3 linked regions of the Callithrix jacchus genome follow. The protein of the gene in region 1 interacts with the protein of each later gene in a biochemical or structural test. Links are inferred from orthologs where the notes say so. Each region holds a gene or a part of one and is shown on either strand. Other genes may lie near its edges.

Region 1 (7,071 bases):
GGAAGGACAAAATTATAATGATGAAGGTATCAATTTACAAGGAATAATCTGCCATCAGTCATGACACAAGCGGAAGGATAAAGAAGAGGTAAGAACCAGGAAGAGCATTTAGAAGGTTAAAGAACCAACAAAAGTGTGGGAGAATATCTTAGTAAAGGAGTGGATATATACAGAAGTGAGTCACCGGGTCACATTATGCACTGATCAGGCTGAGCGATTTCACGCAAATTGCCTAACATCTCTGAGCCTTAAGTTTTTTTTAAATGAAAAATGGGTATGATGATAATGACTGACTCAAAACAGGCAAAGGATTTCTCTAGGATGGTGACAGCTCTGGGATACAAGGTGAATGGGCCAGGATTTTGAGTTTGTTTCCAGGTCTGCATGAATTAAAGAATGTGCTATGAATGGCAACAGGCACATTCACTTTGTGGAAGATGAGGGGGGACTAATGGCTGGTGAATGTTCCACGAATTATGAAGAAATTACTCTTTACACTCTTATGATGTAGGTATTTTTATCCCAAATTAACAGTTGACTTAACTAGAGCAAAAATTAGTAATTTGAGTTACTGGATATGACTCAAATTTGAGTAACTGAATATAAACCAAAGCCCACTAAAATCTAAAACTTGGGCTTTTCCAACTAGTACATCATATTGTCGAGTTGAAAGTTGTATTTTATGTCACTGCTTTTGGCCTAATGTTCTAGTCTGTTCAGACTATTTTGAATTTTGATTCTGACATCCATCAAATTAATTATCCCTCCAAACTTTGGGTCATCTGAGAGGGACATCGATTTTGCTGAGCTGGGGGAGAAAGATGGAGGAAGGAGGTTTTAAAGTAGAAAGGGAGCAGCAGGTGGCCTTGACCTGTTAGGCAGGAGGCAAGGTTATCTGCCCAAAGTAAATGCAAATCTGGTTGTTAAGTGGACATAAAAGTCAATGGAATAAATTTGCTGCTAAGAATGATCGTGTAGGCAGGTGAGGGTAAAGAATAGAAAGGAGTTAAGAACCAGGAATCTCGGAGGCAGTGAGAAGAGGGAGGGTGGTGTAGGTGAACCAAATACTCCTATTAAGAAAAAACAGAGGGCAAAGGAAACATACAATAAAGGGAAGGCTGACCCACTCAGCCTTTCTATTAGCTGGAGGAAGTCACAGAATAGGAGGCCAAGAATATTTCCCACCCCAACACCCTGCACAAATGAAAGGATTATGACATACCTAAGTGACAAATGCATTACTATTACAGATACTTAGATGTAGACAAAATACATTTTTTTTTTTGAGACAGTCTTGCCCTGTTGCCCAGGCTGGAGTGCAATGGCATGATCTCGGCTCACTGCAACCTCTGCCTCCCAGGTTTAAGCAATTCTCCTGCCTCAGCCTCCCAAATAGCTGGGACTACAGGTGTCTGCCACCACACCTGGCTAATTTTTTTTATCTTTAGTAGAAACTGGGGGGGGGGGTCACCATGTTGGCCAGGCTGGTCTCGAACTCCTGACCTACGTGATTCGCCCACCTTGGCCTCCCAAAGTGCCGGGATTACAGGCATGAGCCACCGCGCCCGGCCAAGACATTTCGATAGAGGGGATCACATAGACCAGTGGGATGTTTCTTCTGAGACAAACCCATGTTATGCAGTAAACTGTGGACTCTGGGGACAGCCCTCTGCTCTGACTGAGGCCTTCTGTCCCGAGTGGTACTGGAATCTGTGTAGCATTTTAGTTTGGAGGAAACAAAATTACACTCATCACATCTTTTGCCCAGATGACAGAATTCGAAATCCCCCGGGGGTTGTTCGTGGAATGAGCCGCTCGGTGACGTTGTGAGCCGTGCTATTAATCAGCCATCCCTCACTAGGTGCGGGGGGGCCACCACGCTTCCTCCAGCCCGTCACCATAGCAGCAGGTGGCTATTTGTGCTGCCAAAATTAGTATTTAGTGTGAATATTCCAAATAGCCAATTATGACAGTTAATTTCAAATGAGATGACTTCGAACTACACGTGAAAATACTATTTTACATCATGCCTCATGCCATCCCTATATGTAATCAAAGCCTTCTAGTTTTGATTTGTCCTTCCAAAGACCAAGGGTAGAGTAAATGTCAAAATCTGCCAAACAGCAGTTAGTGAAAGAGTCTGAAGAGGGAAAGCCTAGTTAGGTTTGACCTTAGAAGTGATTTTTAAAAAGAGACACATAGATAAAATGTGTCTGGAGCCAAATCCTAAGGCCTGCAGGTGTTAAGGGGGGGGTCGAGAATCAGCTGCACGTTCCTTGGAAGTCCGCGCCGATTCTGGGAGGCACCTGGCCACCTCTGACTTTCTGATCTGTGGTGCATCCCCCAGTCCCGGTCGACAAAAGTGGGGAGTCGAGTTCCAGGCCAGCGGGGGACGGGGGTTGTGCGCACAGGGGAGGGGCAGGAGGACTGCGAGCCCCTCTCCTTTGGGGTGCTTCGGGCCCTTTCTTCAGAGGCTGGTGGTGTCCCCGACCCAAGCAGCTCATTCTCGCTGGCGAGGTCCGAAGTGGCGGGAACGGGTCCTCCGCGGCGGCCCCAAGGCGAGGGAGGCTGTAAAACCTGGCGGAGGATCCAGCGCGCCGGGTCGGGGATGGCTCGGGTGTCAGGGGGCAGGGGCCGTGGGCTCGCAGGTAAAGAGCCCCACGTGAGCGGGGGCCACGGCCACAGAAGGGGCGCCCCCGGGGCGGCGGGCGGGCGGGAGCTTTCCGGGCCCCTCCCGCGTCTCGGGCTGGCGGGGCGATGGCGACGACGGTTTCCCGGCTCCCCCGCCCCGGACGCCGATGGCGGTGCGTTCCGGCCCTCCCCCAACAGCTTCTCCCCCGCGGTCGCCGGAGCCGGTGAGGCCGGGAGGGCGGGGAGCCGTGGAGAGAAGGCGAGAGGGCGGAGGTTGCGTGGTGCAGGCGGCGGCGGCGGCGGCGGGAGGAGGAGGGCCGGGCGGGCAGGGGAGGAGGAGGAGGCGGGCTCCGTGTCGCACGCAGCTCCAGGCGGGGCAGCCCGGGTGGCTGAGGGACGCAGCCAGACCTTGGCGGGACGGGGCTTTCGCCGGGGCCCAGGCCCAGCGACCAGGCGGAGGCGTCGCGGGAGCCTTTTGGGCACTACGGAGATGCGGGTGAGTGTCGGCCGCCGCAGGGCCGAAAGGAGGTGGTGGCGGCGGCGCAGGCCCGGCCCCGAGCCGCGGTGTCGCAGTGACTCGGGCCGCGGTTGCCGAGCCCAGGCGCCGGGCGAGGCCTGAGCCGCCGAAACGCGGCCGGGCAGAATGGCGGCCGGGCCCGGGGGCTCGTGGGCGGAGGACGCCGGGGGCGGCAGGGGAGCGAGCGGGGCTGGGCCCTGAGTCACCCCGGACGGGCCGGGGCGGCCAGGCCCGGACTACGCACTGGGAAAAAGCCCGATTCATCGCGCCCAGAGGCGGCGGCCTGGTGGCGCCGGCCCCTTTCCCCGTCGGGACCGGGCTGGGTCCGCGGAGGCTGGGCCGGCGTATGGCCCCGGGCGACTTGGGCGTTCGCGCCTCGCCTCGTGAGGCGATCTCCGCGGGACACCGGGACCCCATGCCCTTGCCCCTTCTCGCCCTCACGACCACGCTTCTCCTCGGCGCCGCTTTCCGGCCGACGCGTGCCCTCCTGTGAGCCCCGGGCTCGCGCGCGCAACCAGCCGCCAAGCCGGGCTCTCTCGCTTTCCGGTTCCCTGCCCGCGGCTCTCGGGTTCCGCGCCTGCATTATTGCGACCGTGCAGGACGCTATTATTGGCTAACAGCCGTCCTTTTGCCCAGTTGTCCTCGGGGAGCGGGCTGGGCTGGCGCTCAGAGATGGGAGCCCGGCGGCAAAACCGAACGGAGCCCCACGGCGCCCGCCTAGCGCTCGCGAGTCTGGCCGGGCCCTGCGCCGCGGCCTCGGCGCGCCCCCGGCCCCAACGGGAGCGCGCGCCATGACCCTGGAGGTAACCGGGCGAGCGCAAGCTGCGGGGACTTGGGGTCCCCAGGCTCGGGGTTCGTGCGATTTTTGCCCCAAGATCTGAAAGACCCCTGTTTCTGCCACCGGTGCAATATTGTGTAGCGCAGACGTAAGATAATTAAGAAAGAGAGGAATGCTTGTAGACACTGCTTGAAATGAATCCCCAAAGTTAAGGTTTTCTGCCTGGCTGGCTTTGCCAAAAAGAGGATTCTCTTTTCCGACTGGGTCACTCTCGGTTGCTTCTGGTTCGTAGTAGGCGTTCGTGGTAAGTGCACAAATGCTGAATTGCAGTCTTCTTAAATATTTATTTGCTCAGTGTAATTGCTCTTTCCTGTAGTAGCATTAAAATCGTCAAAAGTTCTGAGTGGAGTAAACGATCACACTTTTTGGAATAATCTTAACGAAGCGGCAGAAGAGAAACTAGATTCCTTTTTTACTTCAAGCCAGGAGCTTCTAGGACCTAACGCCTCGCGGAAGTGTGTGCAGTTTTAAGTTTAACACTTCATTTCATGGTGCACCCGAAAATGTACCCAGTTTTTTGAAATCCTGGAGAGTGGATTATGTAGTAAAATATGTAATGACATTTAAAATGTAAAACCAGTCATTTTGTTTGAAAACAATATTTGGCGATGAGATTTTTCTTTGTTTAAAGGAGGTTTTTGGATATTGGAAAATGTTTTACTTCGAGGTTCTATTTGTTGTTTTCCATGGTGAGTCGAAATAGTTGCATTGCATTTCAAATTCCAAAGCATGCAAACACAAGACTGGCTCGCTTTAACTCTATTATGCCCATTTTTGGAGGTTTCAGGAGAGTGTTCCTTAAGCTTGAGAGGGATGGCTGAATTGCTTTCTAAATATGTTAAACTTCTTTCCTCATTGGCTTCATCTTTTAAAAACTGTTTTGTCAGACAACAAACCAACTTTAAATATGCTAGGGTTTTTCACCAATTTGTAAAAGCTTCCTTCCTTGAGAGCCACATGCTCAGGTCCTTCCCCACCCCCCACTCCCAATGTGTGTACCACATCAGAAGACAGACACGCATGCCTGAGCTGATTCTGCATGGTTTCCTTAGATATTATAGTTCATTAGACTCTTGCCACTTACTGAATGTTATCTTCTAGCTGTAATTAACTACAATACAGCCTTATTTCCCATACATTTCCGATTCTGAATTCCTTCAGCGCAGGGGATATTCCCTGTTTATTTTTGCGTCTCCAGAGTAACAACTTGGTTATGGTGGTGCCTCAATTGCTTATTTTTGAATGAGTGAGTTTTCTGGAATAATTCTAACTTAGTGTTTGAAAACATGCCCTGATTGTTGGCTGCAGAAAACACAGTCGTTGCACTTAAGCCGGTTAAGAATGCAAGCTTTATTATACACTTAAGTAAAATCGATTCTCTCATCTCTCCTTTGCCACTCTCCCTTCCCATTTCTCCACTTCGCACCTCCCCACAGCCCCCCAGTATCTAGTACAGGGCCCCAACAGAAAAATGCCCAGGTTTTCTATACCTGTGAAGTCCAGGAAAGTGCCAAGAGAGAACAAGTTGTGAAACTTTAGCTTTCTTTCCCATTAAAACTAGTTTTAAGATGCGGAATTTTTTTTTACTTTTTTTGGAAACACAATCAAACGCGATCAGGATCAGGTCCTCCCACCCCCGGTTGAGTATCCAGCTTTGCCTTTGAAATGAAGCAGTTTGGTAGTTGAGGCGTCTCCTTGTTGGAAAGGTGAGGCCAGCCCCTTGGTTCTGCTGAAGTGGGATAGGAAGTTGCTGTGGGAGGAACCATCCCTGGGTCACTGAGGCCCTTTCATCAGAATATCATTCCTAGTATACCCAGAGGCATTGTGTCTGTCTTTCAGCATGGAAAATTAAAATGAATGTACTTTAAATTGAGGAGTTGTTACTTGCCATTCTTCAAATTAAAAACATTAGGACCATAAGAACTTATGAAGGTGTTTTGGTTTGTTTTGTTTTGCTGTTTCAGCCCTTTGTAGGTCCCAAAGCCATGACCTTGAGTCACTCTGGAATAAAGTGTCTTTGGGGGACTGTCAGGTTCATTTTGAACTTGTTTTAGGTATGTCTGGAGAAAAGAGTTAACCATTTGAAGGGCCAATTCTAAGTTTGTCTTGCTTTTTAAAAATATCTGGGAGTTTATCCGTGTGTTTGCTTTGCAAATGAAGAAATGAACATTAAATGGGAAGTAGATCCAATTTGGGTAAAAGTCTTGTGTTTGCCGAGGACATAATTTCCTCTTTATAGAAGTTTCTTGTTTATAAAATGAACATTGAGTAAGCACACTATAAACAGGATGATAACATTTAATGACTTAAGTTTTTTATTCATGCATGGAGGTATTTCACTTCTAAAAATTCTGTGATGGAGAGATGTAGTCATTTATTTTTGCTTAGGTATAGAGCGTCTTGATTTGGGAGAGAGGACTTGAGTCTAGTTAAAGCTTACCTTTGCAGGGCCAGTATTTGCTCATTTGTGAAATGAGATGGTTTTTTAATTGACATTGTTGATTTCCTTAGGCCCTCAAAGTATGTGGATTCCATGGGAATGCCACAGCTTTGAACATTAACAGCATTTTGGGAAAAACGGTCTCAAAGAACATCAAGTATTGTATTCATGTTTGAAAAGCAGGGTTGTGAAGCCTAAGTTTGATGTATATTTTTTCCCTTGGGAAACATGGACCAAGTAAGCACTGTTCTGCCCTTCCTAGTGTTCCCTGCACGCTTCAGTGCTGTTGCAGTTCCATTCAAGATGTGACTCTTTGCCTTTTCTTTCACTGACGGCTCAGGGAGCCTTCCCTGGGTTCCCGTGGTGTCCTGCCTGTGTCACTATCACAATATTTAACCTTTTGATTGTACTTGGTGGTTTCTCCCACCAAACTGCCCTCCTTTGGGACAGGGAGGCTGTGATAGCATCTGTCCCCAGTGACTAGCGTACTGCATGCGTCAACATTCACGTACAGCCTTCCACTGGAAATCCTTACAGTGCCCACTGAAGTGTAGTCACTATGGTTTAACCCACTTTACAGAATACAGGTGAAGGAGCTGAGACTTTGAGCGGTGAAGGTCAGGGCTAGGAAGGTGGTTAAGCCTG
Region 2 (6,983 bases), on another chromosome or scaffold:
GTGGTGAGATCTCGGCTCACCGCAACCTCCGCCTCCTAGGTTCAGGTGATTCTCCTGCCTCCGGAGTAGCTGGTGTGATCTGCCCGCCTCCGCCACCGCCTCCCAAAGTGCTGGGATTACAGGCATGAGCCACCGCGCCCGGCCTTAAGCAGGATGTTTAACCTGGCTCTTGCAACTTCAGGTCAAGGGCAGTAAGGTCAGATGCTAAGTCTGTGAGACTCTCCTTGGTTTTGCCACATCCTCCTTTGCCCCTCCCACCACCTTTCCTGTAGCATTTTAATCAACAGGAGCCCTTGGATTTACCCAGTTAAAATATTCCTTAGTTTACCGTTTGCAGATGGTGGTGGCAGTAGTGGCAGAAACCCAGAGCTTCCCAAATTTGTTTATAATACACTTGCTCCTATCTCACCCCTCCTCGAGGTGGAAATACTTGTAATATCCATTACTACTGTTTTCAGAGGAGGTGGAATGTACTAGGGTCCAGCGACATAATTGTGAAATTTGCTTTCATTATTGTTGCTGCTTTAATGTCTTTCTGATACGATTGACCATTCTCATGCTATTCACTCAAGACAGATTTCTCAGGATTCGGATCCTTTTATTAAAAATTTTTTTTCCTGGAGAACTACACTTTAAACTTCATGAGTTTTTACTTGACGTTCCTTTCCAGGATAACGTCTGTAGGAAAAGCTGCACTAATAGTAATAATATTTGTTTTAGAAAGAAAATAACCTTTGAGTCAGACCTGAAACACAGGCCAACATTTCTTGATGACACTGTACACTGATGAACCAAGACGAGAAGCTCTCGAAAGCTCCAAACCGTAAGAAAGAACGATTCGTAAAAGTGTGGCACTACTAATGAAATTCTTCCCTTGAGAGTCAAAAATCCTTCCACAATCTCCCGGATGATGGTTCCCTTCCAATCCTCCCTCCCCGCCGCCCTAAAAATCTGCCCGAGGATGGGTTCCTTCCCCTGCCCAGCATTTCATCTCCTTTTCCACTGAAGACTCAGGTTGTGACTCTGTACTCAGGCCGCACCCCTGTTTCCTTTCATAGCTAGGGGGAGGGGAGGAATGTATTACAACTCATTTTTACAATGCACTGCAGTTTGAAAAGCGCTTGCACTTCCACCATATCCTATGAGCTTCGCGAGTGCCACGTGAGGAGGCATTCATTCATTCATTCATTCATCAAACATTTGCTCTGCCCGACCACACGTTATCCAGCGCTGAGTCTCACCCCACGCCACGGGAAGGGTGGGGCGCTCTCTCCCTGGGGCAGGTGCAGTGGATCAGGCCGTGGGGTAACTCCTCGATCAGTCCGGCTTTTCGAGGGCCTGTTTGGAGCCAAATGCCTCACCTTCGGGTGGTGCGCGCAGTTGCCTGAAGGCGCGGCCTGGGCCTCCTACTTCCTCCCAAAGGAGCAGTCCCACCTGCCCCGCAGGAAACCGCTACAGAGCAAGCTCTCCGGGCCGCCCTCGGGTCAGGGGTAAGATCGGGCGGCAGCTTAGGCTTGTCTCGGCTCCTCCCCTTCCTCTCTTCAGTTCTGACGCGGCCGTAGAGGCTGCAGCAGCGGCGGCGGCGGCTGCAAGTCCCGCGGCCCGAGGCGCACCCACCCGCTCGCCTATCCCCACTTCCTCTTCCCTTGGAGCGTCATCAGAGCGCGCCAGAGGCGCCCAGGGCGGGGTGGCTGGACTAGGAAAAAAGGCCCGCGGAGGAAGCCTCAGAGCGGAAAGAAGAGGGAGGGGGAGGAGAGCGGTTGCTAGGTGACTTGCGTCATCTGCAGGCGCCGCTCTCCTCCCGCCCCTCTCTCTCTAGAGTGAGGCGAGAGCCCCGCACAGAGCGAGGGAGACAGCGAACTGAGCTCCGGGCGCTGCCGCCGCCGCCGCCGCCGCCGCCGCCGAGAGTAAGAGCGAAGGAGCATCCGAGAGACTCAGCCCCTCTGCACTGGCCGCCGCTGAGACCTTCGCCCTCACCTGGGTCAGCGGGAGCCGCGGCCGCACACCTCTCCCCCCCTCACCTTCCCGGCCGGCAGCAGAGGCTGCACACGCCGGAGCCGGAGCCGGAGCCGGAGCCGGAGCCGGAGCCCGAGCCCGAGCCCGAGCCCGAGCCCGAGCCCGAGCCGGAGCCGGCGGCTTGGGGGGCAGGGAGGCGGCTACCGCGGGCCGGGACTGGGTAGCTGCTCCGCGGTGAGAGAACGCTGAGGAGGCGCCGGAGCTTCTGCCTCGTCCCGGGGCGTGGGGCGTGGGACCCCCAAGGTGTAGGGAGGGGGGTCCCAGCCGCAGCGACACATGCAGGAGCCGGGAGCGGGGGCGGCGCCGAGCGGAGCCGGCAGGGTCCCCCGCCTCGCCGCCGCCTCGGCCACCCGCCCGGGTCCGTAGCATCTTGCCCCGGAGTGTATGAGCCGGGGCCCCAACCAAGCTCTGCAACCACCCCCCCGGCCGGGGGGACTGGGACCCCGATGTGAAGCAGCGGCTGGGGCGGCGGAGAGAGCGGGACCGACGCCGCCGTCCTTTCCTCACCTTCCCCCTCCCCTCAGCCCCCTTCGGGGGTCTTCTCCCTTGGCCAGTCGCCGGCCCCCCGGCTCCTTGGCTGGACTCCGGGAGGAGTTCTTAGAGCCCCCCTCCCCCGCCCCAGCCCCCAGGGCGGCGGGGCCGGGGGGGATCCGGGGGGCCGGCCACAGCCTCCGCCCAGAGGAAACTTTATAAAAACAAAATCCAGAGCCTCCCAAACGTGACTGTCCTGGGAGAAGTGGCCCTGGACGGGCAGGAGTCGCAGCCTGAAAAGACCCAGGAAGAGGAAAAGAGGAGGTAAGCGGGGCCGCCGCCTCCTCGCCCCTGGCAGCACGGAAGAGACCCGAGTGGCCGCCTGGTTTAGCGACACGAGCCGCTTCTTCCTCAGGACCGCGCTGCCGCCTCAGTCCGAAGGAGGAAGGGAACCAGCCCACTTTCTCGGCGCCGCGGCTCTTCTCTAAAGTGTGAGTGGCCCCGTGAGAGGGAATTGAGGGGAGAAAGTGGGAGGATGCCGGCGCTTCCTCCTGGAGTTTTGCTGATGTTCCCAGGAGTGTTGGGAGTCACAAGAGGGTCTAGCTTTATTCACAGAAGGGAGAAGGTGTTAGGGAGGCCTGTATTTCGTAACTTTTTAACTCTGTACGAGTAATGCAAGTATGCAGGTTTCTCTTGGAGGAGTTCCTTCTTCAGAGTGAATACTCGCACCTTTCTGGCCAGTAATTGGCAAAGGGAAATTGAGGAAGCCAGAGGATGTGTGCGCACAGAGGCCATCTGTATCTGTAACCTTTTCCTGGTACTGTGGGTGTGTACAGTGTTCTTTTTGTTTCTGGGGTACTCTTATATAGGACCCCCGAAAGCAAAATTCCCTTTTTAAAAAAAAAAATGAAAAAACAGTCTTGGGAGATTTTCATTTAGTACCTATTGATACAGGAGTTAATCTTCTCAGTTCCTGGGTCTGTGTGTCAGGAGACACTGTAACAGATTTCACTTAGGAACTTGATTTCTTAGGAATCACAGCTTATCTGGGGAAGAGCATTTATCACATTAATCATTTTATAAAAGTGATTTTTTTCCCCTTCACCAAGTTTTTATTTTTTTTGGAGTAACATCTTAAATGACAACACTTTTTAATTTTGTTTGAGGTTTTGCTATTTTGTATTGTCTTTATTTCTGTATCAATTTAGGATACACTTTTGATATTTAATTCTTTCAGGAATGACTTTTTCCTTCCATTGTTTTAAAGTTGAAGTCTATAAAACCTTTGACTTGCATTTTAGTAATGTTCTCAAAGTACCAAATTAAAGTTTCATGGAAGTAATTAACATATCATATACAGTCCTTAAGGGTTAAACATAGAGTAGAATTTTATGTAAGCAGGCATAGACAGTACTATAGTGAGAATTGTGGTCCGTCTAGACAACTGTGTGGGCTCCTTCTGTCTGAAGCCACTGCTGAGAGTTGCTTTGTGGTAATGAATGTAAGCCTGGGGTTATCAGTCTATCTGAAGTTCTCCATTCAGGATCTTGATTAAATTTATTTAAAACTCAAACTTAACAATGTTTGGTCCTATTCTTTTAAAGTAATGAGTTCTGCAAGTTTATTAGCCTCTGTATTATGTGACAATTCATTTATAAATTCCATAGGCAATTTATTTATATATTCCATACCTGTGTCCATAAATTTTCAGGACACAGCCAGAGTTTGTGTTTCGAGAAATACCAGAACAAGCCTCAGTTCATCTTTCCTTACTTTTATAGTGTTTTATTATTTCTACCATCAGTTTCTCCAACTCTTGTCTTAGAATAATGTTTCTTATTTCTTTGACCACTTTTTCCTCCTCTGGAACTTCTCCCACTGTACTGTTTTTCTTTAGTTGCCTTACTATGTTTTGGTAAGGAACCTTAAATTCTGTCTTTTAAGTGTGTACTGACATGAAAATATTGAATAGTGGATGTAATGTTAGACTTAGAATCAGAGTCATGTATTTTGTTTTTCACAAAGATATGATAAAGAGAAATGTAGTCATGTAGAACCTGTATTTTGAGAAGGAGGGGAGGACAAACTAAGAAACAAACTGTAGTTTGAATGTAGGTTGCATTCTGTCAAAGTTGCTCACTAACTTTTGGACTACTTGTATTGCTTTAACTATAGATTGGTTAAAAATTTTGGTAATTTTATTTTATGTTATTTTGAGATGGAGTCTCTCTCTGTCACCCAGGCTCGAGTGCAGTGGTGCAGTCTTGGCTAACTGCAACCTCCACCTCCCAGGTTCAAGCGATTCTCCTGCCTCAGCGACCCCAGTAGCTGGAACTACAGGCGTACGCTACCATGTCTGGCTAGTGTTTTTGTATTTTTAGTGGAGATGGGGTTTCACCATGTCAGTCAGGCTGGTCTCAAACTCCTGACTTTTTTTTTGAGATGGTGTTTCGCTCTTGTTACCCAGGTTGGAGTACAATGGCGTGATCTCGGCTCACCGCAACCTCCGCCTCCTGGGTTCAGGCAATTCTCCTGCCTCAGCTTCCTGTGTAGCTGGGATTACAGGCACGCGCCACCATGCCAAGCTAATTTTTTGTATTTTTAATAGAGACGGGGTTTCAACATGTTGACCAGGATGGTCTCGATCTGTTGACCTCGTGATCCACCCGCCTTGGCCTCCCAAAGTGCTGGGATTACAGGCGTGAGCTATCCCGCCCGGCCACAAACTCCAGACTTTAAATGATACACCCACCTCGGCCTCCCAAAGTGTTGGGATTACAGGTGTGAGCCACTGTGCCCAGCCAGAATTTATTACATGTTTGAGTAGAAATGACAAAGTATTTGGGGTCCCTGTCTTTGAGATGCTTTGACTTGTAGGTGGTGGAGACAATCAAACACAAATTGCACGAAGCTACTGGGGAGATAGACCAATATTTAAGATCACACTAGATGTTAGATATTATATGGCACTTTATAGCTGTTAATGTATTTTTACATTTTTCACTAGTGAAATGTTGCTTTTGTGTAGAACTAATTGAAGTGTTAAAGCAATATCTGGAAACATTTCTTTTAGGAAGAAAAGAGCAAGTGGAGACAAAATATTTAAGACTTTTAGAATGGGGAAGCATAAGGGACAGATAAAATTATGAAGTTGGTCTGAAGGGAATACAGATGGAGGTTGTTGAGTAGTGTTAGGGTCAGTTGTGTTTGTGTAGACACATGATTACAGTCAGAGAAGCAATTGAGAAGAGTGTTCCTGAGAGAGTAGTTTCAGATGACTGGGGAGAAATTACATTTTAGGCAAAGCCATTGTGCCTGGATTGGGTTTTTTTTTTTTTTTTTCTCTAGGAACCAACATTTTTACGTCATGGCTATTGAGCTATACAGAAGGAGTGAAAAAGAAGATGCTTAGTGTGTTGCTGGTAGCTTCTTACAAAAAAGAGTTTGGAAATGGGACAGTAAACTTTGTTATGGATGTTAAATTGTAGGGCAACAGTTGGGTACTGGTGTAGTTTCCAGACAGCAAGATAGTTCAGCAGGTAATACACTGAAAATGTAAAGTTGGAATTATTTTCGATATATTTAGGTTTTCCAGAGTACTGATGGAAAGTGAAGAGCTGAAAAATGGGTGTTTTTAGTTGGGAGTGGAAAATCTGAATGAATGAGACACTCCCTAAAATAGATGTTTTAAACGTGGGTAAAAGTTGAAGTTGAAAAGGAATGAGCAGGCTTTAAACATGGCCACCAGTTTAGTCCCAGGGTATATTATTCTGTATTTTTGAAACAAGCTAAAAGTTTTCTTTTTCTTTTTTCTTTTTAAATAGGGTATATAGGTCTCTTGAGATTTTAAGAAGAGTATATATAATTTCATTGTTAAAGAACTTAGAAGGACAGTTTTGTTTTCTCAAATTCATATTTTTAAAGTTCACTCTGCATTATTATCCTAAGTTTAGTCTTAATATGACGAAGTGAGGCTAAAAATAGCCAGCAGAGAAGGCTGCTTCCCTTGTTTGCAGTTGGTGTGTGTCTTTGTGTCCCATACAATGGAGGGGATATCCCTGTGTAGGCACAGCAGTGCTGAACATGCTTTTTTTCTTTTAACCTTTTTATTAAAAAACAAAAAGCAACTTGGCACTTAAAAAAATGTAGACATTTCTGTGGCTTGCATTTAGTATTAACTTTAACGAGGATTAAGGATTGTGAGGAAGGAAATACAGATTCACACTTTTTTTGTGTTTCTCATTTGGAATTCTGCGCTTTCCCGCTAGCTTCTCTGACTTCTTAAAAGAGTGATTATTCAAATGACAGAAACTCTGGGGAAGAGATATTTAGACAGGGAGATAGGTCTAAGGTGATTCTAGGGTGAAGATATAGGGATTGGATTACATGCCATATGGAGGCCTTCTCTCTTCACCTTCTACTTTCCACAAGATTTTTTATGCAGTTGAAGCCATGTTCAGATGAATTTTAAAAGGCAGCTGTTTATAGTTAACATT
Region 3 (7,071 bases), on another chromosome or scaffold:
GCTCTTGATTCCTTGGAATACTTTAAATCAATTGGTCGAAGTCTATGAAAACAACTGGCCGGGCACAGTGACTGAACTCTATAATCCCAGCACTTTGGGAGGCCAAGGTGGGCATATTGCTGGAACTCAAGTTTGAGACCAGCCTGGGAAATATGGTGATGCACCATCTACAAAAAAATGAGCCAGGCCTGGCGGTGTATGCCAGTAGTTCCAGGTACTCCGGGGGCCGAGGTGGGAAGATTGCTTGAGTCCAGGGGGTTGAGGTTGCAGTGAGATTGTGCCACTGCACTCCAGCCTCGGCCACAGAGTGACATGTCTCAAAAATAAGAAAGAGAGAGAAAGAAAGAAAGAAAGAGAGAGAGAGAGAGAGAGAGAACAGAACTTAGTTACCTCAAGCCACTGAATATTCAATATTAATACTCACAGAGTGTCACATGGTTCATCCACATTAAAGCTTTCACTATGGTATCCAGGAAATCCCCTACCTATTGGCTACATTGTAACTCTTTACTCCTTTATGGAACATGCATCCCTAGAGGTCCTTAAAATAACTATATAAACTGGTGTCAATCTCTTCTGGCAAAAAGTCTCTGTATACTCCAAAAGTGTTTCTTTTTGGGAGGAAGTGATGAGAAGCACTGTTCTAAGGTACTGTCCCAAAGAATGTTTCTTCATTTTTCTTTGGAAGGTTTATTTGAATTAGCATCCATTATTTTAAAAATAATAACTTTTCACTAAACCAAGGCTAGTAGGTAACAGGCACTATCCTGGTCATTAGAACACACAAATGCCTCCCCCTAAAAGAGCTCCTAGTCTTTTTTTTTTTTTAACTCTGTATATGGCATCAGGGTTCCTAACATCAACATTTCTCATCCTAATGCTTTCCCCATTTCTCCTAAGTCTTAATATCCCAACTTTTAAATAATGTCCAATACTAAAACACAAAAGAAATATTTGGCAATTTTTTTCAATAAATTGAATCTATTAAGTCCTACAAAAAGACTCTTTTAAAATGCTGAAATTTCCAAATTTTTAAGCCTGCATTCATTCCTTTACCTTCTCTGCATTAATGGACAACGTAATTATCTAAATAGACCTGAAATTTTATGCCTATAAGCAACCTTTTGTAATTAGTCATGTCCACGCCTCCCAGAAGTGAAAATCTCAAATTAAGTAGTTTGCATAAAATCTTACAGTTGATAACAAAGACTCAGGCATGATTAGAACCCAGATCTTGTGACTAGGTCAAATTCTCTTTGGACTCTACCAAGAGGAGAATAAAATTGGCCCTTCATTTTGGCAGCACTGTTTTCTTTCTTAGTCCTTAGTACAGGCAGAGTGCTTTGCATATAGTGGTCATTCCATAATGTTAATTAACCTTGCCCTCAAGATCCTTCTAGTGCTAGGTATTTTTAAATATGCAGCCACAAATCTTGGTATTTAAGCCAAAATAAACTTCTAAAGAGAACAAAGCATTATTTTTTTTAAAAAAGAACAAATGTATTAAAATAAATGCCTATACTAAAAATATCAGAAAAAATTTCAAAATACTTGACTCCAAATGCTATTTTAATTCTTTTGTTTGTTTGTTTGTTTGTTTGTTTGTTTTGACACGGAGTTTCGCTCTTGTTACCCAGTCTGGAGTGCAATGGCGCGATCTCGGCTCACCGTGACCTCTGCCTCCTGGGTTCAGGCAATTCTCCTGCCTCAGCCTCCTGAGTAGCTGGGATTACAGGCACGCGCCACCATGCCCAGCTAATTTTTCGTATTTTTTTTTTTTTTTTTTAGTAGAGACGGGGTTTCACCATGTTAACCATGATGGTCTCGATTTTTTGACCTCGTGATCCACCCGCCTCGGCCTCCCAAAGTGCTGGGATTACAGGCTTGAGCCACCGCACCCGGCCACTATTTTAATTCTTAAACGTCTATTTAAACTGAATACATAAAGTGCTTTAATTCCGAAGACTTGTGTATTAACTAGATGGCTACAGCATATTATAAAAATGTTTTTTAGAACACAGTTAAAAAAACCTTAATTTTGTCAAATTACTGAAAATCACTTACTGCTTTTAAACATACCTTTAACATTCACGAACTATTAGGAATATATTAATATTAACACCAATCCTCCAGGCAATGTTGATTCGGTACAACCAAAATTCATAATCTTTATCAAATTCGGCATTGACTGTCATTTCATAGAGGATTATTTCTTTCATATAATTTATTTTAAAAAAACTAGGTATGTATATGTTATCTTTCTTTCCCAGGAAATTTAAGAAAGCAAGCTTTAGTCAATAATCACATGTATGGTATCACCACATAATTTCTTTAGCCTTTCTAAACTTATTACCCATACAGAAGTCGTACTAGTTGAACAAAATTCTATTATTATAAAGTGTTACCTTTAGCCTGAAACTAACCACAATCAGAATAAAATTTACCACTTTTACAGGATGAGCCAAACTGACAGCAAGAGGGAGGAAATCACGCCACACATCTTTGACTTCAATCGGAAGCTAGCAAAGCCCCAAAGAGAATCAAACAGCATTCCAATCCGTAAAACAACACAAAACTTATTTCCCCCAAGAATCTTAATTTCGGCCCTACAACTAAACAAATCTAAAATACATAAAACAAATCTATGTCACCTCCCAAAAGTTACAATATTAAAATTTTTACCATTAGCAAACTGGTTTTTAAGTGTTAAATACAACACTTAAAAAAATATTTCTATCTAGGAAGCTTTTAAGTAATACGATGTTTTGTGGTCATTGACTATTTTAACAACCCAGTTTATCAATTTAATCAGGAATACAACTACTACTTTTTCATGGTTTTCCGTTCACAAATCTGAAAAGTTCTTCCCACACGGTTTGGACATATTTTCAGGAGTTAAACCATATTGTTCATATAAAACAAACAAGCTCTTTAGCCACAATTTTAGTTGAGGACTATTTGTTCTTTCCTTTAAAGTGCACCCTAATTACAACCAGTGAAGCATTAGAGAACAAAACAGGTATAAGGAAATAAGCAGCCTTTTTTCTTTTTTTTTTTTAGGTCGAGAACATTTGTGAAGAGATGGGAGATGGGTAAGAATGTAACAACCACCATAGCATACAAAGGAAAAAAGATAACGTGTAAAAATATAACAAATCTTCACTATGCATATTACAACAATTTGGAACATTACAAATCTCCTGAACAGAATTGCTGTAATAAAGCTTCACATTCACCAGCTCCGTATTAAACATCGCTTCCTTTTGAAGAAGATCCGTCTGCTACAATTCAGATCCAGCAATTCACCCCTTTGGTAGTGATTTTGGATATAAAAATATGAGACTGAAATCCCGAGTTCCTAAGTGGGTTTTACCTGACGAGGGAACTGACAGTGATGCTGGCGGGAAAACCCTACGAGCGAAGTTTCCTCCGTCCTGGCTCCCCTCCCCCTTCTTCCAACCTTCACGAAAAGAAATTATCCAAAAAAGAAGTATATAACCCCATCGGCCAAAAGCGCAAAAGTTCATCATTACACCTGAATGCAGCCAGGCCCACGCGCACCTGCGAGCAGGTAGAAGAGTACTGGGTCCCCCACCAGCTTGGGCCCCAGCGAGCAAGGCAGCCTAGCGCCGCAGGATGGCAAGCGGGTAGGCCCGGGGCCCGGTCTCCCCGCTAGAGCAACTCCGTTCTCTACAATGGTGGGTGGTTTCGCCCCTTCGCGCTACCAGAGACACGAGAATCGCCTCCCAGTGGGGCGCAGGGGAGGGTCTGGGGGCGCTTACAGACGCAAAAGGGGCCTGGAGACCGCGGCGGGCAACGGCCTAGGGGAACGAATGGGGGAGGCGGTTACAAGCCGGGAGAGGAAAGGGGCCCGCCGGGATCCAAAGGCCAGCGGAGCGGTGGGCTAGAGACCTCCGGGCAGCGAAGCTACTGGCTGCGGCCGAAGGGGTGGGGCAAGGCCTGCGTGACGGCCAGGGCCGCGGCTGGGGGAACCCAGAGGTGGAGTGAGAGTCGGATCTCGGCCTCACCTAAAGTCCTTGTCGCTGGATGTCATTTTTTCCAGCAAATTGGAAATGTGGTACGAGGCGCTCGCCATGTTGACGGCCTCGATCCCGCCCGCTGGCGCTGATGGAGCTGCCGCCCGCTGCCGCCGCTGGAGCTCCTCCTCTCGCTCGCTGCAGCTCCCGCTTCCAGGGTCGCAGCGCGACGCCGACGCTTACTAGGGAGGCGCCTCGACGGGCTGCCCCCTCCCCGGCGAGGCGTGGGCCTGTCCCGGGGTAAGCCGAGGCTACCGGACCAGCCTAATGACGGCGCTATTCGCGGAAGGACGAACTCATGAACGGCGAGGCGTACAGCACGGCCAGTAAGGGTAACCAGACCCTTCCACTCAGGGCCGTCTCGCTCCCACTCCCTCCGCACTCGCTCCCTAGGGCAAAAGGCCAAAGCCCGCCTACTTCGCTCGGGGACGGGGGCGGAAGACGCAGGACGCTACGGAAAGCTAAGGTCAGAGTTCAGGAGGCCTCGCCCAAGCACGCTGCAGACGAGAGTTAAAGCACAATTCGGTTGGCTGAAGCCTGTGTCAATTTTCGCGTGACCCGCCTTTTGGAGGCATGACAATCACTAAAAGGGGCTGTTCTCGCGATACTTTAAATGACGGTTAAAGGACAGGAGATGAGCGGAACGAGTGGGCCTTAATCTGAAAATAATTTGATTATTTAGTGACATTAAGAGAAGAAGATTACGATCTTTGAGAAGGAGAAAGCCTGGGAGTAACGACAATTAAGGAGTCAGCTTGCAGAACCAACATAAGAATTAAAACAGGGAGGTTTCGTTTGGGATCAGACGAGTGGCCTGTATTGCCTTAACCACCATGGTGTAAATGTTGCCACGTGAAAACCACAAATCCCAGAATTCAGTCGGGTGATACACTGGCTCAGAATATGATTGGCTGCAGGAACTTGTAGCTTTTTCATTGGCTCCCGTGGAAGGAGTGGATGCTGGGATTTGCAGTCTGGCGAGGGAACCATGCTGTATAAAAATGTTTGAATCACCGCGCATTCCGTTTCTGCCGCAGATTCTTATTTTCTCCAATACAGGCTTTCTCTGTTATGCGGTGTTTAAAAGAGCTAAGCCGCTGCAGTTTGGCCAGGCGCATTGCGGATCCATTGGTGTTCTTGGCAGAGGCCTAACGGCGACTTTCTAGCGCTACTCCTTGCACCTCCCAAGGCAGCCGAGCCTCCCCACTTCTCTGGCCGGACACACTCCTTCCGTGCGTCGTAGAGCCAGCCACCTCTCTGACGCCAGCAGGACCGTAGTAAGACTAATGGGCATGCGAGAGATGACGGTAGTCAAGGCCTACTGTCTTCAAAATAGCTGAAGACTATCTCTGTAGTTAGCTTTTGTGGCCTCGTAGGACCTGCAGCCGTGTATTGTTCCCTCAGACATACAATTCCCTGGAAATGAGTTATCGAAGTATTTACTATCTACGTTTTTTATCTGTTTAATATTTGGGATTTTAAACACAAGTTTTGCCAGTTAAGGGTCAACACCCCTAAAAGTGTTAGGGATGGAGCTAGCTGACAGGCCTTTCTGAAAGAGAGCTGGGTGAAGAGATGAAAAATCAATCTCACTTGATACTCTTGTTAAAAACAACAAAATAGCCCTCTACTTCCACATACCTCAGATCTGATCAAATCTACCTGACCTTTACCATTCTTTTCTATAGTCAACTATTACTGAATACTTCAGAGTCAGGCAATAGCAGTTAATAAAACAAATGAAACGGGATTTAGCCTCATAATATGTGTCTAAATTTCATGCATAACTCCGATCTGCCCTCATGTATCCTTTTACTTTAATATGTGTGATATAAAGACCGGGCGCGGTGGTTCACCCCTGTAATCCCAGCAGTTTGGGAGACCAAGGCAGGCTGTTCACGAGGTCAGGAGTTCGAGACCAGCCTGGCCAATATGGTGAAACCCTGTCTCTACTAAAAATACAAAAATTAGCCGGGTGTGATGCCACGCACCTGTAGTCCCAGCTATTCGGAAGGCTGTAGTGCAAGAATTGCTTGAACCCGGGAGGCAGAGGTTGCAGTGAGCGGAGATCATGTCACTGCACTCCAGCCTGGGTGACAGAGGGAGACTCCATCTCGAAAAAATATAATAATAATTTAAAATGTAATAGATGATTATAATACATTTTTGTCCGCAGTAATGCCATCTTTCTCCTTTATTTTACCCATCTGCCATCATTAATGTCTTTTATCGAGCTGTCCTTGAGTGCTTCAGCCACAATTAATTTCCTTTTGCTCTGAGCAGACTTTCCATAATATTTAATGTAACACACACATACACAAAGAGAAAGAGAGAGAGAGAGAGAGAGAGAGAGAGAGAGGCAGGTTGTGTTTTGCATGTGTGGATCTCAGGTCTCAGTCATTTAATATTAACAATAATACTTTCTTTTATCCTGTGTCCTCTCAGAAGCCAAATCATGGTTTGTCTTTTTCATGATTTGTGTGTAAATTCTTTTACTTTTGAATTTCCAGCTGAACTATGATATTTGGAGTCAGATTCCTGAAATATAAATCATGTTTACGGCCACTTACTAGGTGTCATAGGCAATTCATTTTCTTTCTTCTTCTTCTTTTTTTTTTTTTTTGAGACGGAGTTTCGCTCTTGTTACCCAGGCTAGAGTGCAATGGCGCGATCTCGGCTCAGCGCGATCTCGGCTCACCGCAACCTCCGCCTCCTGGGTTCAGGCAATTCTCCTGCCTCAGCCTCCTGAGTAGCTGGGATTACAGGCACACGCCACTGTGCCCAGCTAATTTTTTGTATTTTTAGTAGAGACGGGGTTTCACCATGTTGACCAGGATGGTCTCGATCTCTTGACCTCGTGATCTACCCACCTCGGCCTCCCAAAGTGCTGGGATTCATTTTCATCTTTCTCAGCTTCAGTTTCTTCATGGGTAAATGATGATCAGGATATTCCCTCTGGGTTGTTTTAAGAGTTTAACTCCTAAGCTTAGGATTGTTGTAATAGTTAAATAACTCTACCTTGGCCTCCCAAAGT

The links.
Region 2: the proteins of CUL1 (region 1) and FBXW7 form a complex in vitro, tested with the Homo sapiens proteins (3 studies listed by BioGRID). The link is inferred for Callithrix jacchus from reciprocal best matches to the Homo sapiens genes CUL1 and FBXW7.
Region 3: the proteins of CUL1 (region 1) and CAND1 form a complex in vitro, tested with the Homo sapiens proteins (6 studies listed by BioGRID and IntAct). The link is inferred for Callithrix jacchus from reciprocal best matches to the Homo sapiens genes CUL1 and CAND1.

Annotation. Positions count from the first base shown.
Region 1 is NC_133512.1:99,020,703-99,027,773, reverse strand, and holds the start of CUL1 (cullin-1), read left to right. Parts: upstream 1-2,469; 5' UTR 2,470-2,648; intron 2,649-2,736; exon of another isoform or gene 2,737-2,855; intron 2,856-3,000; exon of another isoform or gene 3,001-3,127; intron 3,128-3,782; exon of another isoform or gene 3,783-4,230; intron 4,231-7,071. UniProt on the Homo sapiens protein: Core component of multiple cullin-RING-based SCF (SKP1-CUL1-F-box protein) E3 ubiquitin-protein ligase complexes, which mediate the ubiquitination of proteins involved in cell cycle progression, signal transduction and transcription.
Region 2 is NC_133504.1:44,161,465-44,168,447, forward strand, and holds the start of FBXW7 (F-box/WD repeat-containing protein 7), read left to right. Parts: upstream 1-1,817; 5' UTR 1,818-2,811; exon of another isoform or gene 2,812-2,902; 5' UTR 2,903-2,978; intron 2,979-6,983. UniProt on the Homo sapiens protein: Substrate recognition component of a SCF (SKP1-CUL1-F-box protein) E3 ubiquitin-protein ligase complex which mediates the ubiquitination and subsequent proteasomal degradation of target proteins.
Region 3 is NC_133510.1:51,920,160-51,927,230, forward strand, and holds the start of CAND1 (cullin-associated NEDD8-dissociated protein 1), read right to left. Parts: upstream 4,442-7,071; 5' UTR 4,097-4,441; coding exon 4,029-4,096; intron 1-4,028. UniProt on the Homo sapiens protein: Key assembly factor of SCF (SKP1-CUL1-F-box protein) E3 ubiquitin ligase complexes that promotes the exchange of the substrate-recognition F-box subunit in SCF complexes, thereby playing a key role in the cellular repertoire of SCF complexes.